5 linked regions of the Xenopus tropicalis genome follow. The protein of the gene in region 5 binds, or shares a complex with, the protein of the main gene of each other region. Links are inferred from orthologs where the notes say so. Each region holds a gene or a part of one and is shown on either strand. Other genes may lie near its edges.

What was found.
Region 1: ruvbl1 (region 5) and pfdn6 share a complex: the UniProt entries of both Homo sapiens proteins name them as parts of the PAQosome complex. The link is inferred for Xenopus tropicalis from reciprocal best matches to the Homo sapiens genes RUVBL1 and PFDN6.
Region 2: ruvbl1 (region 5) and meaf6 share a complex: the UniProt entries of both Homo sapiens proteins name them as parts of the nuA4 histone acetyltransferase complex. The link is inferred for Xenopus tropicalis from reciprocal best matches to the Homo sapiens genes RUVBL1 and MEAF6.
Region 3: ruvbl1 (region 5) and kat5 share a complex: the UniProt entries of both Homo sapiens proteins name them as parts of the SWR1-like complex. The link is inferred for Xenopus tropicalis from reciprocal best matches to the Homo sapiens genes RUVBL1 and KAT5.
Region 4: ruvbl1 (region 5) and anp32e share a complex: the UniProt entries of both Homo sapiens proteins name them as parts of the SWR1-like complex. The link is inferred for Xenopus tropicalis from reciprocal best matches to the Homo sapiens genes RUVBL1 and ANP32E.

What each region holds. Positions count from the first base shown.
Region 1 is NC_030684.2:72,109,385-72,111,685, reverse strand, and holds the end of pfdn6 (prefoldin subunit 6), read right to left. Parts: intron 1,044-2,301; coding exon 919-1,043; intron 844-918; coding exon 723-843; 3' UTR 501-722; downstream 1-500. UniProt on the Homo sapiens protein: Binds specifically to cytosolic chaperonin (c-CPN) and transfers target proteins to it. Binds to nascent polypeptide chain and promotes folding in an environment in which there are many competing pathways for nonnative proteins.
Region 2 is NC_030678.2:86,132,697-86,136,196, forward strand, and holds part of meaf6 (chromatin modification-related protein MEAF6), read right to left. Parts: intron 2,271-3,500; coding exon 2,155-2,270; intron 1,663-2,154; coding exon 1,575-1,662; intron 734-1,574; coding exon 688-733; intron 294-687; coding exon 101-293; intron 1-100.
Region 3 is NC_030680.2:37,912,955-37,916,454, reverse strand, and holds part of kat5 (histone acetyltransferase KAT5), read right to left. Parts: intron 629-3,500; coding exon 557-628; intron 402-556; coding exon 321-401; intron 3-320; coding exon 1-2. UniProt on the Homo sapiens protein: Catalytic subunit of the NuA4 histone acetyltransferase complex, a multiprotein complex involved in transcriptional activation of select genes principally by acetylation of nucleosomal histones H2A and H4.
Region 4 is NC_030684.2:129,172,520-129,175,957, forward strand, and holds the end of anp32e (acidic leucine-rich nuclear phosphoprotein 32 family member E), read right to left. Parts: coding exon 3,383-3,438; intron 3,271-3,382; coding exon 3,185-3,270; 3' UTR 501-3,184; downstream 1-500. UniProt on the Homo sapiens protein: Histone chaperone that specifically mediates the genome-wide removal of histone H2A.Z/H2AZ1 from the nucleosome: removes H2A.Z/H2AZ1 from its normal sites of deposition, especially from enhancer and insulator regions.
Region 5 is NC_030680.2:134,985,309-134,988,808, forward strand, and holds part of ruvbl1 (ruvB-like 1), read right to left. Parts: intron 1,155-3,500; coding exon 1,068-1,154; intron 546-1,067; coding exon 413-545; intron 1-412. UniProt on the Homo sapiens protein: Possesses single-stranded DNA-stimulated ATPase and ATP-dependent DNA helicase (3' to 5') activity; hexamerization is thought to be critical for ATP hydrolysis and adjacent subunits in the ring-like structure contribute to the ATPase activity.

The DNA of each region.
Region 1 (2,301 bases), on a different chromosome or scaffold from region 5:
ATGGGTCCATTAATAGATCTGGAGACACAAATGTATTTTAGTCATGTAATTTCTCTAATATGTAGTAATTGGGCTGAAAATATTAGTCTTCCTTAAAGAGGTTCAACACTTTTTGGCATAATAAAAGAAGATGTAACTCTAAGCAACTTTTTTTATACAGTTATTCAATGGTGTTCAATAACAAAAGCCAAAAGATTAACAGACCTGCAGAAAAACACTACTTTTAAAAGCAATGTAATTTACAAATAACCATTGAACCACTCAATTGTTTAGTGCATAATGGAATGTTGCTTAGAATTATTAATCTCTTATACAAACAAACAAAACCTATTTTGGGTGGAGGCCCCTTGGTATCTAATTTCACTTCTTACATTTCTATTGGTACTTATTGTTCATAGGTCAGGAGTTGTTCCATTTGTTCAGAAACTATATGTATGGTTTGTGTATTTCTTACGTGCAATGTTCTGCTATTCTCCCAGGAAAGATAAGATTAAGTCCTCTCGGAGTCAAAGCATTTTTATTACCCAACACAATTCAAGACATAGTATTTCCACAATGAAGCTCTTACTGTCCAAGAAGTGGCATCAGTGTGCACAAGAGGCAGGAGGTGCCAAAAGTATTCCAGGAAAATAAATGGTGGGCAAAGTTTTGGTTACACAGTCCTGGAGCATTAATGACCAATGAAAACCAGGTCTAGGGTTATAGATTATTCTGAATGCCCCTCAGGCCTTCACTGGCCCCTTTCCTTGTGTCCTCTGGTAATCTTGTTGAAGCTTAGTAAGGGATGCCCTATGTTGCTCTGAACGCTGCTCCATATCCTTAAGTGTGGTCTCATATCTTTTGCTGAGAAACAAACATTCAAACATTATACAAACCAGTTATTAATCTCAATACAGACTAAAGAAAAACACTACTCACATTTCTCCATTAATGTACTGAAGTCTTTTATCCACAGTAGACTTTGCCTCTTCCAGGTCCTGTTTTACCAGCACTGGACCAATCAGCTTATATACAGTGTTACTGTCATCCAGAAAAGCCAGCTCCTACAGAGATATATAGAAACACACATACACATTTCATTCTTAAGAATCACACTATATTGTTATTTTTTATATTTACCCGACATTCTATATATTGCCAAATATGATTACTGTTAATGTCTGAAATCTTCTTTTCTGTTCCTGTTTATTTTGAAAATACATTTAAAAAAAAAAAAAGTTTCCAGGACCATTTTAGAAATGATTATGTATTTGCCTAATGGAAATATTAGGAAGAAAATGTCTTTGCCCTCTCTTTCTGCAGCTTATATAAAATGGGTTATTGTCTTAAGATTGCAGTTTTACCTTTGAATACAAACCCTATTATTTCCCACAGTGCCACTATTCCAGCAGACAAAGGACGCAATTTGTCATAATTGAGATAACAAAATCATAAGGTTGGATTAAAAAAAACTATTTTTATATATTTATAAAATTTTTGACCATGTGCAAAGCATACAGTCCTCTTTAACCCCCTCCGTGGCCTAATTTGCATATGTAAATTAGGATTCAGTTTGGTATTTGCCCAAATCTTTTCAATGGATTTGGGGTTTGGCCGGATACCAAAATAGTGGATTTGCTTCATCCCTAGTATAAAGTAGAGGAACTTAGATCTGAGATGTTAGAGCTGAGGTCTTTTTTACTTAACCTTCACCTAGAGCTGGGCGGTATGACCAAAAATTTATATTACAGTATTTTTCAAAATTATATCGGTGTCACGGTATTTGACGGTATTTTTTTTTTCCATGCATGATTAGGTGTTAACCCCATTTCCTAATAAATTAGAAAATAATTACTGCAGTATTGAAAATCAGTCAAGCGAAGGATCGGCAACAGAAAGTCGTAAGGTAAATCAGGCAGGCTTAGTTTCCCAGGCAAGGCCGCAGACAACATAGCACAGGAGGAGGCGTTTGATAGCTTTAAATACCCCCCACGCATGCACAGAACCGGCGCCGTCAGCGCATCACGGACGTGCACGCTTTGACATGTACGTGCGCTTTGACGCACGCGCACCTGGATGCGCGTGCGCAACGTCCCGCGGACAACAGGACGCACGCGAGACCGGGCCGCACGGGTGAGTACCCTGACACCCCGGTATTGCGGTATCTGAAAAATGAATATAGTTTTAAAAAAAACCACCGGTATTCGGTATTAAGCGGTATATCGCCCAGCCCTACCTTCACCAACTCTTTAATACAGTGCAATTGTAAACATGTGTAGTGTGATACAACAACAATTCAGTTTGAGAATTTGTCTGACATGG
Region 2 (3,500 bases), on a different chromosome or scaffold from region 5:
GAAACAGTAAAACTTCTAAATCATTTTTATTAAAAAATAAAAATAGTGTCCTTAAATACAGTTTTAGCAAATTACAGTTCTAAGCAATTTTTCAGCCAACCTGTGCCTATTTTTATTCTTGCGTTTCTTGTGACTGCTGTGATGGCCACCAGAATTGGCTGAAGAAGCTGCTTTTTGAGGTTTAACACCAGACAGGGAACCATCTAAATCCTCTGTATCATCTTGGCTAGGCTCATTTTCTTGGTTCTGAAAATCTGGAGAGTTGTCGCTCTCTGTTCCGCTGCCTGGCTCCCCTAAAAAAAAAAACAGAGCAAGACCGCATAAGATGCAGTCAAAAAAATCCACGAAAATGAAAACACACAATTCTATAACTGCAGCTAATGCATACATGGTACAGATGGGCTACCTACCATTGCCAACATAAAATGTAATGATATACAAACCCTTTTTAAAGTCTTATGATACTGATAAATAACAGCTCAAAGATTACTTTAACATTTCAGAGCATGTTGGAGTATGATGTAAGTATAAGGAAGGTTTTGGCAAAAAGAAAGAATAGTGGAGATCCTGCGCAAGACAGTATCTGAAAGTAAATCAGCAATAAAAGATGCATGACACATTAAATTATGCTCTCATCTCACTTGAAGACAAATACAAAGCAAAAAAACATATAAACATTACACTCACGTTTCTCAATCAGCTGGTCTTGAACACCTGCCAATGCACTGACAGCCTAAAGTGTAAACACAAATATTTGTTATAGAGCAATAAGGCACTTTCTATAGCAGCTTAGAATATAATATGAGCAAGTTGAACAGAAGGACTCGTCTAACTGGAGATTCAACACCTGAATGTGGCATTCCAAATTAATTTAAGGCACTGGCGTACATATGCACCCCACAGATTTTTTATGTCATAATTGAATTATAATCTGGTCCACAAACTTACTGGTTACCACCTAATTGGTCCACTTTTTATTATAAGTTGGACAGCACAGTTCTACATAAATGACCTGTACAAGAACCCAGAGATCCAAAATGTTTTTCGATGTGGCTATGCCCTAAAAAAATCTGTACATAGACTGAAACTGTAATTACCAAAACAAGATTACCATGCAAATGAAAAGATGGTCATAATCAGGCCTTATAAGTTGGCCATTCTAAGGGCTATGGCACACGGAGTGTTTAGTCTAGTGATGCCATCCAGAAGAAAACAACAGTAAACAAAATACCATTGTCCATCTGCCTGTTAGTAATTAATGAAATGCGCCAAATTGTAAACCCATGCAGTGGTGGCAGTAAGACTGTGGTATGAAAACTGTGCTTTTCATTAAAGAAGAACTAAACCTCCCCTAGACAAAAGCCCCCCATCCACTGCCTTCCAATGAGCCCCATCCTTGCTCCCTCCCCTTTGAGTCTATTTCAATGAAAAGTGTCTCTGTAAAGCTGACCTACAGATGCAGAATACCACAGCGGAGCTAGCTAGTCATTTTAGGGATTATAAAATAAAAGGTTTACTTATTCTTTAATGTTCATTCATTACTAACCATGAAAGCTTTCTTAAATTGTACTTACAGCAGCTGATGTTACGGAAGATTTGCTAAAAAGTCGTTCTGCTTCTTTGAACTTTCTGTTCCTCCTATCATTCTTACTGTTTGAATTCCTGCAATAGAAAATTTTGTTTACTAGATTCACATATAAAAATATATTTGGCACTATTCTCCAGCAAGCCCTTTCTCATAGGTATCCATAGTGTATGATTATTGGCAACCATACTGTTCATATTCATAGACAAAATTTTATGAAATTACATGTATTGCCAGTTTCAGAAGGAACAAATAACATTCTAAACTACAGTGCACTTCAATGCATTCTTTTTCTAAATACTGTCAGGAGTTCATATTTTGCTTCATATTGCAGCATAAATTGTAATGCACATTAACTGGAAAAAAAAGCATATTAAAGCATTGACCATAAATCCCAGATCTTTAATAAAGTGAGTTATAGCAGTAAATGTAGTTGTGGTTGGGGGACTACTGTAGTCTGTTAAACAGTAAGTGAATCAGATTAAGTTGTATTAATCTTTTCATCAAATTTCTAAAGCAAAGGGCATATAGGGTTAAACAAAAACAGAAGCTTACTAATCCAAACTTACTTTTGATTTGTTAGGTAACGGTCCCAACCTCTGATAATGTTACCATACATCTGTGTGTCTTCCAAGTAACTCCCTTCAAAAGCATAGATCTGCCGTTCTAAATTTGCAAGTGTCTCCTATGGAGAGAGACAAATCACAACTTTTTAAAAATGCTAAATATTTATGGACACAATATTAGGACAGTTGGTATATACACAGATTAAAAAACATTTGCAGGTCTGTTACATGATTCATATTGTGACAGAAGTCAAAGATTTAGGGGGTTATGTAATAAAGTGCACTAAGTTTGCCCAAGAGAAGTAAACCATAGCAACCAATTAGCAGGTAGAATTTACTGGTCACCTGTTTAAAAGCACACTTCTAATCTTATTGGTTGCTATGGGTAACTGCTACATCTTTTATTGCATACGGGGTTAGACTTTCTCAAGTAGGCTAAAGGGACCGATATTACACTGTAATTGCTTCTAATGTATCACCTCAGATACTCAAGTAGTTTCAATGGCAACCACATGTATCAGCATAAAATGCCCACCCACTCAGTAATTGGGTAATAAGGATCCATACAGTTCTAATTTACTGAACAGAAGCGTAGCACATAACAGTTTTACATGGGTGGTGTGTTGATTTTAACATATGATTCGTAAATATTGGTACCATATAGTATACAATTACATGCTGATGCATTTGTGAGACTTAGAAGCAGAGTCAGTTGACTTGTGGCATATGGGGCAGGGATCCAAATGCCACCTTTACCACTGCATTAAAACCTTGGTAATTTCCACATAGAACATGCTGCCAACAAAATGGATAATGGTGCTTTTCAAATTCAGCTCACCCCAACAAAGTAAAAAGCAGTGTTTTCAATTGCTGTTGTCAAAAGTTGCTCTCAAGTGCGTGCTCTTGTCCCAGGAACATTTGCGCACCCACTGCAAACTATCAGCAGTGTGCACACAAACTTTCCTGGGACAAGAGTGGCTATAGAGAAAAACAGGGTCTGCTTTCTCTGTAGTTACGCTACTGAAAGTTACTATATTTGGATCATGGCACATGGAAACAATATTGCATGAAAAACAGTGTTGTATTCGTAATTATGTGAATAATCACAGTTTTTTTTTATATGATGGGGAAACATTCAGTTAAAAGCAAGTTGTGAAGTCACCAAGATAAAACACTGCATTAAGACCCATCCAGGATAGCTGTTGGGACATATGACTGCTGTCCATTGATGGGGTAACACTTTTACGGATCCTTAAATCAAAAAGTTTGCTTAGCCAAGTACATAATTAATTGGTTAGAAATTTGTTTGACATTCTTGCTTTCCAACAACATAGTTTGAAAAGTACTCC
Region 3 (3,500 bases), about 97 Mb from region 5:
TGCTGAATAAGCAAAGGAATAGAGCGTGTGAGGCTCATTTTGGGTTGTGTATAACATATGCTAATAGAAGTTTTACATGACTTTTGAGGCAATTTCACTTTAAACAGTAATTTTTCTAGAACAGTTAAAAATGTAAAGGACAAAATTCACTTATCAGCAATTGTATGCATATTTATGGAAACATTCAGTAGTACCATTTATATTTTTTAGCTTAATTCAGTTACGGGAGAAAAACACCTATAAAAACTTGATAATGCAACATTTTTACCCACTCAAAGGCAGCATTTTTTGGCAAAATAAGTCTGAATAAGCAGCTTTACCTGTGGAAAGACAGTGACCTGGGTTGTCTCTGGAGGTGGTGGGACTGGAGTTGCAGGAGATACAATGTCCACCTTCCGCTTCTGATGTTAGAGAAACACAAGACACAGTTATGGAAAAATCTAGTGAATTAACTGAACTTTAAAGAATAGAAAAATGAGTTGCAGATACCTATGGTCTGTATATGCATTTAACAGTGGTTTGGGAAGAGTGATAGAAATAGAGGAATGTGTTTTACCGGCACAGGAAGAGATTTTCCACCTGCTGCGGGGGGAACAACCGGAGGTGGGATCAACTCGGGAATCTTCCTCTGTGTAAGAAAGAAAAGGGGATTTTTGTACTTACAGTAAAATGATTTTCTCTGAGGACAAATGTGGAAACATATTAAGCAAGTATGTAAACTTACTCTACACAGAAACAGGCCACCAAGAGAAAAAAAAAACACCTCTATCCTGAGTTCTACCTTTACTGGAAAGCAGCCATCTTATAAAAAGCAACAAAGGGTGAATAAGCCAAGCTAGAATATTATACAAGATGCTGGTACTTGAGTCAGTGGTAGTAGGAAGATATTTATGAGTGCATAGGGACAGCCAGAATGGACAAGTCCCAATTAGTCACAGCTCTATTCATAAATAGAATCTCTAGGGTTTTGTAAAACTGGACCACAGACCAAGTGGCTGCTCTATACAGTTCCCAAAGCTCCCAGTGACCTGGTGAAATGGGCCCTAATTGAGAATAATGCATGGGAAAACATCTCAACCAGCAAAATCTGCCAAAAAAAAGAGGAATGAAGATACCAATGAGGACAGTTGTTAAACTCGAAACAGGGCTGCCACAAAATCATTCCCCCACATCAAGCCACTTCCCAACTTCTACACAAATGAATACCCTGTTGGTAACTTGATGGGCAAATTCACTTGCCAAAGAGGCTGTTTAAATGCAGGCCTGGAATTTGAATCTTTAACTGGACTAGTGCAATTTTAGCATAAAAGTAAATATCTAATCTAGAGCCCATCCTAGCAAAATTCAAATCCGTAACTCCTCATTGGAACAAACTACCGCTGATGCTATGGGGAAGAATAAACCTCTTTAAAATGCTGTACCTGCCCAAATTCCTATACCCACTGTTGAACTCGCCGGTGTATATAACTAACCAGTTCTTTAAAAACCTAAACAGTGAATTAATTTCTTTCATTTGGGCCAACAAAGCCCCAAGAATATCATGGCTCACACTCACTGCTTCAAAAGCAAAAGGGGGGCTTGCTCAACCCCACATACAAAATTACTACTTTGCAACCCAACTATCCTATATACATAACTGGTTTAATCCTGACCGCAGCAACTTATTAACTGCACTGCATGCGGCAATTATGGGCTCCCTAGAGGCCATACGCAACTTGCCATACAGACGACAGGCTGACCTTCCCCTTTTACCCGAGGTACTCACCACAAGCTAAGGTCTGTACCCCTCTTTCTCAGTTATCAGGCAAAGCGCCCCTATGGAGAAACTCAAACCTACCACATATGAGACACTTAGTCGATTTCCAATATTGGCCATCAGACACCTAGACGATCTACTGATTGAAAACTGTTTTGTATCAATAGAACAACTGAAAGTCAAACTTAACGGGCCAAATATTCAGTTTTTCCGTTATCTTCAACTGAGACATGCTTTTCATTCCCAGTTTGGGACCTACCAACTCGCACCCACACTACTGTCATGGGAAACTAGACTCTGGGCTTTAGACCCAACCAAACTAGTTTCCCAGCTGTATAGCATAATCCAGACCTCACACCCTGCTCCATTTGACAAGGCCAAACGCAAATGGCTGGCAAATGTTCCATCCCTGGATGAAGATCAATGGGACAAAACAACTGATAACTTATACAACTTCCTAATATCACTTATACACTTCCTAATATCACTCAGAGAATGATCCAGTTTAAGATGATTCACCAAATATACATTACCCCTCTGAAACTCAAGGCCATAGGGAAATTAGAAAAATCCAAATGTGTTAAATGTAATATGGCAGAAGTAGGTTTCCTCCACTTGATCTGGGATTGTCCCAAAGTATTAACGTACTGGACAGAAGTCACCCACTATATAGAGGAACACCTGTCTCTTCCTGGCATCAGGTCTCCCGAAGTATGTTTGTTAGGAATAATAGGTGAATTAGTACCCCTTCAAAAATCCAGAGCATTACTACGCTCCCTTGTGTTCTATGCAAAAAAGGTAGTAATAATGAAGTGGATGAGCCCCATTCCTCCACAATTCAACAATGGATAGAACTAATAAATGGGACACTACCGCTGATCAAACCGACATATAATGCCCGGGGCGCACCTGGGAAATTTGAGAAAATACAGTACACATTCTCTGACTTGATAAAAAAAATATCACTGTTATCAGCAAATAGGAGCCATGCTTAGTACTGCCTCTGCTTTAATGTCATTTGAATAAGCTGTAAACTACATCTGTTTTTGTGCTCTGACTTGTATCTCTCATGTCAGCATCTAGTAATGGGGTCTTTGTCATTAAGTTAACTTTTGAGGCCACTCAAAATGCAAATTAGAGATGTTAAAGTTGCAATGAGAGAACCTCCCATTCATTCTTGTCACTGCATATTTTTTTCTATCTTCTCCCCAAGTAACGTGTTTCTTATACGTCCTTGATGTTTTGTGGGGGTCCATGGCTGTAATGTCTGGTTTGACCTACACATATCATTACCTTCTCAAATGGTGCAAAGCTATATAGGTACTGTATCTATTTAAAGCAATCTCATATACTCTGAACCTCTTGCTAAATGAGATGATTTCACTTCATAACACAGACTCATTATGTCCCTGGAATCTACAGAATGTTTTAGCAGAAGAGGCAGTATGATATATAAACATACAAATAAGGATTTTTTTTCCAGACTATTGCTTTCCATTATGGAGTGTGAATAAAGGATTTTTTCCATTTTGACATATTACATCCTAGGACTTTCCCTAATTCCAGGAAATCTTACTTTGCAACTTATTAAAGGACAAGAGGAATTGCCTTACAGGAGAAGGAAAGGTAAAACTATGTAAATACAGCCATAAGCACTCAGAGAAACGCTGCACTGAGTCCTCTATCAAAATAAACACAGGATTTCTTGTCTCTTTTTTTTGTAAACATTTTCTTAGGGTATCTG
Region 4 (3,438 bases), on a different chromosome or scaffold from region 5:
AAAACTGTTCCTCAGTGTTGCAACAATTTTATAGTTACTTTTTATTACTTAAAATTGATACAGGGCTAGACATGTTTCCCAGCTGCCCTCAGCCATATGACCTGTGCTCTGATAAACGTCTCTCTTTACTGCTGCGCTGCAAGTTGGGAGTGATCTCACCCCCCAGTAGCACAATAGGCAAGTAAGCAAACAGCAGCTCCCCAACACCTGCATTACTAAAAAATTTCCATTGCACCACCTAGTGGTAGATATAAGAATAGCACCCAATGGTAATACACCCAAGTCCAGCCAGTTACATGAATAGGGGAAACAATAGGTTACCTGAAAGCACTTGCATTGTAAAAGGCTGGCTATTGCAGTACAACGTGTGGTAATCGTTGTAATTATTTCCTCACCATTTGTGGTTTCAGATCCCCCTAAAAAAAGACAACTAGGGGTTAAACACAGGAATACGCCACACACAGGTCAGAACCACAAAATGACGGCTGCTCCACGCTATGTAACACTGTTATGGCTTTATTCAAAAACAAAGTCGCACATGTAGAGAATCAAAAAAAGTAACCGATCACACTATATACATACTGCCATAAAAGAGTATTTAAAATAGGACAAACCCCCTCTGCAAATATAAAAACCCGCCCTTATATATTTTCACCAAACGAAAAAAATAAAATAAAATATATATATATTTGAAAGGCCGGTGTTATGATAAGATAGAAAGTTTTGTTTCCAAGATGCATAAAGTGGCTTGCATGATACAAGGGAGAGGGTTTTTGGTATAGGAATAAATATATCACACCAGGCCCTGGTCGTATGTAAGGAGCATGTGGTAGCCATGCATCTATGTGATGAAGTCAGACTTACATGCCTCTATGTCTTTAATATACAACAGCATAGGGATGCCGCTATGGGCACAGATGGGAACAAAGAAAAAACTTATATATGTTTAAAATCATGGAAACCAAGAAACTATTTCCCTTGTCCAATAACTCCAAACCCCCAGGATTCATTACTCCCTACAGATCAGGAATTAAAGAGAATTAAGTTTGCCAGTACAATCTAATGACACTGTTAACATTTATTAACAAGCAATTATGGTCTTTTAAAAGGGAAACGGGCATCTAAGGGATTCATTATTACTCTCCAATGTTTACAAATTGTTTCAGGGAATATGTGCTGATATACGGGTCATATGAGGTGCTGCTTTCCAGGTTATTGAGCACGTTAACTAATCAACACTTTGCCATTAAATACAAGAACCATGAATGTAACAAACTGTATAGTTGGTGATGTCTTGTGGCGTTAGATCGGACATCCTTGCTTGGTCTGCCAAGAGTGTAGGGATCCAGAAAACCAGATGAAAACAGGCAGGGATGTGCATTTCTCTGTATTGTAAAATGGCCAATAGTAACCCCCCTCCTTAAAAGAATATGTAATAATGAAACATTATGGTACTGAAATCTGAATTTCTGTAGCAACAAGTGTTTTCATATAAAAAAAAAACAAAAAAACGAGGCAGCTTATGACTGTGGTTCCAACCCTATGGGTTTGGCCTTCAAAAATGTTTCTTAAAGAAAGAGTAACACCAAAACATGAAAGTGTTTTAAGGTAATTAAAATACAATTTACTGTTACCCTGCACTGGTACAGCTACTATAGTTTATATAAATAAGATAGTGTAGCCCCGGGGGCAGCTATTCAAGCTGGAATAAAAAGAAAAGGCTCACGCTACATAGCAGATAACAGATAAGACACCATTGTATTCTACGGAGTTTATGTTAGCCGTTATATAACCTGTGCCTTTCCTCCTTTTAAATAGCTGCCCTCCGGGGCTACACAATATTTATATAAATTATAGTAGTGTTTCTGAAGCAAACACACCAGTGAATGCAAAAGTACATTATAATTTAATTACTTTAATATATTTTAATTTTTTGGTGTTACTGTTCTTTTAAAGTAAAAGGGGGGCGGTGCTAATTTACTAGGCTCCACCCTGTGACCAGAAGATGCTCCTACCTTGAGTGGAACATTAGGATTGCCGATGCAAGCAGTGAAACTGCCATCTGAGGTGTCATGTGGAACAAGAAACCCATGTCAAAGCCACAAGGAAGGGTTTTTACACTTCATTTTATCTACAGAAAAGAGATCACTCAGTGATACTACTGGATTTCAGCAAGTCCCATTTAATCACTTTAAACACAAAACTGAACCTTAGCTGTTACCAGCAATTTCCCAAGGACAGGGAAATGGTAAGTGGCCGACCCTAGTGTAATATTAAGCAAACAGATTCTGCAGGGCGAAGACACACGGAGCTACTTAGTGGCAGCTACTTTTCACGGCTACTAAATGCCAGCAAATACCCTGCCATAGACAATACCGAGAATCGCCTCTGCCCAAACACACGTAGAGACAATGATCAGTAAATGATCAGCATTGTCTATTTTAGTAGCCGTGACAAGTAGCTGCTACTAGTAGCTCTGTGTGTCTTCACCCTAAAACAGCAGCTTTGTCAATGTCAAAACCAACCACCTTCAAGAAGGGTTGTTTACCTTTAAATTAACTTTTAGTATGATGTGATGTGGCCCTCACCTATTCAGCTTTCAGTCTGCCTGGTTACTAAGGTAAGTGGGAACCAGCAACCAGAGTTTTAACTGCAACTGCAGAACAAAAGGCAAAGTTGCAAAAACTACAAAGAATGAAAACAAAGAATTGCTGTTAGAATCTCATTGCTTACGTGATACTAAAAGTTAACGGTGAACATCTTTAAAGGTGAGGCAGAAACCACGACTGCCGTTTGACAATGCCATAAAGCATTCTTGGTTTGCTTTACAAGTCCTATTAGAACTATGGAGCAGAGAAACAATTTCATGTCTGGGCTAATGGCTCCCCACCCTAAACCCACCCCCATAAAAGGACCCTAAAACGTGGTTAAGCCCTCTGGAACACAAGATATTACAATGGGGTCAGAAAGGGAAACTAAATGTACTAACAGGATCTTACATCTTACTTGGAATGATAAAAAGGGCACACAAATTGTAAAATCACACTTTGCCTATAAAAAGTTACCAAGTTAAATTCTGTAGGGATATCTATTGTACATGTAGAGACATACAGATCTGCATTATTCTAGCATTAACCCAAGGGCTCAGAAAAGAGACTGGTCCTAGCCTCCAGAAACAATGGCTTCAATCTTCATCCTCATCTCCGTCATCTTCTGGGTCCCGTTTCCTCTTCTCTCCCCGATCAGCTGCTGCTGCTGCTTCATCCTCTTCTAGAAACAAATAAAATTATTATGTCAGACCTGTATAGTGGGATATAGGGGGCAAACAAATCAGAATTACAGCTTTTTTTGCAGATATACAATAGTATCACCAAGAACATACCATCTTCCTCCTCCTCTTCCTCCCCTTCGGCACCATCTTCAACGTAATCGTCATCA
Region 5 (3,500 bases):
CTAGGATCGATCAGTCGATCATCGCATAGTGGGTTCTTCCCCTGCATTGCCGTATCGCCCTATTTAAAATGACCGGAAGCCAAGTTTTAGCAGGTATTTTCTAATAAAGCATTCAAAATAATAAATGGTGTGCAGGATAGGGCAATTATTGGGGCAGGGTAGAATAGATTTTTTTTACTATGGTAAATATTATGCAGGAAGAATGACACATTTGCTTTATAAAAATGTTCTATTTATGCTCTTTGTAACCTCCTATATTACATGTGAAATGGCTGATTAGCATTTACTTTGAGTTTTTGGCTTCAAAAGTTCAGCTCTTTCATTAAGATGCTTAAGAATGGAAAATTCCAACACCTTGTGTATATTTTACCATTTAAAGTCAGACATAGCAAGCTGCCCACCAACCACTTACCGATGGCTCTCCGGAAATTCTCCATCAGGACCTCCGTTTTCTTGATCTCTGTGGAATAAACTTCACTGCCAACCATGGGGCAAAATGGAACTTTATTGCCTAGTTCCTGGGCAATGGCTAAAGCCAAAGCAGTCTGTAAGGAGACAAGGAATATAAAAATGAAAGAGAGCAGAGTAAGGAAGCCACGTGGGCCTGACCAAAGGTGCAAAAGGGCGGTGCACGCGAGACTGCCCTTATAGCACCAGCTGGAGGAGACTATAGCCCTTTTGCCTCTAGAAATGCCCCCAGTAGTTCCCCATCTTCTTTTCTGATTCACAAGGTTAAAGGCTCTACAAATGAAATCTCTGGTATTACTGTTGATCTAATGAAAGATTTTTTTTCTTTTACTGTTTCCAATATAAATTATTATTTTTTTTTTTAAAAGGCTGCAGTAATGTATTATGCATAATCCCACTGTATAACAAGCTTATCCTTGTATAATGTTTATGTATGTGATTCACAGGTTTAAAGTGGAACTATGAACATTTCAACACAAGGGGGCAATGCCAGCAGTCAAAACATAGTTTGGCATAGGAGACATATACACCCTGATGCTTTGCATTTTCCATGGTTAAATAGGATCCAGGTGAAAGAAACATGCAGAAAAATAAGGTACCTTGCCAGTTCCAGGAGGTCCCGCCAGCAGCACCGCTCTCCCAGCCATTTTCTTGCTTTTAATTAGCTCCACTATTACCCCACATGCCTGTAATTTAAGAGAAACATATTAAACAGCTCTGACAGATTGTAGTAGTGCAGTCACATAGCCCAGGTCAGGCACCTCTGCCCACCATGAAGAGGTACAATCCAATCCAACAATTGGGGTACTGTTGTGAATAATGGCTGCAAGCCTGAAAGTGAATGTGAAGTCTCCAGCAGTCACTCCTGCCTGCACCATAGACATGCATGTACACCTAAAAACACGACTGGCCGGTATGTCACTGCCCTAAAGGACCAGCTGATCCAAAGAAAACTGAATGGCCCAAATGGGCACAATGTATATCCAGCAGGCCCATTTATCTATTTATTACAGTTAGTCTGCCCATTAGAAAATAACTTAAGCAGCAACACTTTAACTTTAGCCATCCCATCCTCCAGGGAAGAGTCCTGCATGGGTCTGTTTTGGTATATTTTGGTGTATCTTCAGTTAGACCTGGACCCACACACCTGTATTGACTATGATGTCTTTCCATACCCGAACAAATTCGAAGAAGTGCCTTCCCGAACCGCAAACAACTTCTTGGCAAAACGGAAGTAACGTCATTATTTTGTGGCGGGGCTGACTTGAGAACCAGAAGTTAGGTCAGAAACTGGCAAGTTTGCTGGTAAACTCAGGTCTTTTTGTGTTTTTAAAGCTGCCTGAAACCTCCCCAATTACCTCCACTGTGTACCTGTGGACCACCCGCACAGTCAAGACATCTAGGATTTTGCCTCCCCCCATTCCTGACATATATGCGGGTGTTCTGTGGGTACCCGACCCGCTGCAGGAAACATAATTCCTACCCTAGAACCCAGGTCAGCATTCCTCACATGACTACCAATATTACTATACTGAGCATAAGAATATTCCTTGACAGCAGCAAAGGATTCCTGGGAAATGCTTGAACATAGGGGGTCAGGATCCAAGTTTAGGGATTATATTCACTGTGGTGCCTAACAAATTAGTACCCCCTGTGTATTTTGATTAGTTCTTAATGATGACCCTAGAAAGAACTCCTGTGACTTACCTCAGTTCAGGACGCACTAAAGCCGGCCATACATGAACCGGTGATATCGTAGGAAACCTCGCTTCTTACAATATAAGGTGCGTGTATGGCGGCTCAACGAGGCGGCCGATATCACAAAAGGCTGCGGATATCGCTCAACTCATCGATCGGCCAGGTTAAAAGATTTTTTAGCAAAATCTACATTCAGGGCTGAATCGGCAGGAGGTAGAATTTCTATTGTTTCTACCTCCATATCGGACGATTCAGCCCTGAACTTCAGTGGAGGGTGGGAACGATGGTCGAACAAAAGATCGAAATTGCTATGTGTATGGCAACCTTAAGGACCCAGACAGTCACACTGTAAGTGCAAAAGGGACACAACTTTACTTATCACTAAATATTCACAACAAACAAGCCTGGTCTGACTGTGCTTATGGAAGATCCATACTGCACCCTTATAATTTTGGCTCCACCATCCCACCCTAACAATCCAAATTCCTGGTTCACTGAGAATTTCTGTTGCTATCAGATCATCTCTCCATATAGCCCACTAAATCCCAAATGTTCTCAGCAGGAACTTGTCAGAACAGACTCCAAATTAAGTACTGCTTCACTGCTTGTGTTTGAAATACAGTATCTCGCTCAAAAAGCACATCGAATCAAAACCATGCCACAAAACTGGCGCTGAGGGAAGAAAAAACATCAATTTTCTTCTAAAAGCCAAAAATCACTTGTAATGGAAACAAAGACTTTATCCTTATGCAAAGGGGGACTTCACTCTGTGCAACACTGACTAATGAGAATAATAAAGCTAATGTCACTTGTTGGTTTGGTGGACAGGGTACAAGAGGAGAGCTATGGAAGGTAGAAGGGAATGTGTGGCCCGACAGTCAAAATAAATTAGCAAAGTATGTGACACTTGCACAGAAGCAAGAGATAGCAAAGCAAGAGGAAATAGTCACCTGTTAATATTCCCATTAGACAAATATGTATAAACATGTTCAAGGTTATGACTTATGTTCAAGAAACCCTTTGCTCTGTGTGATGAGGTAGTGCTTTCAACACCTTCATGAAACGCAAAGCATGGCAGCAGGGTTGGTGGCAATGTTCTGTGCCCAAGTTCCCTGGCAGTGATCACAGTGCAGGAGCCTGTGCACAAGAAAGTGCCACCATTTTGGAGGGTGGGGACTGGAGACGCTACATACAAAATTCCAGTTTATGTACCACAAAGGGTGCTTTGTATTTTCTGGATGTAACAGGGTGTCGTTGGGCAGATCAGGGGTATGGTCATGACGAATATTTAGATGCCCGCTTTCTTTTACTGTGACAGGCAGTGGACTAGTAAC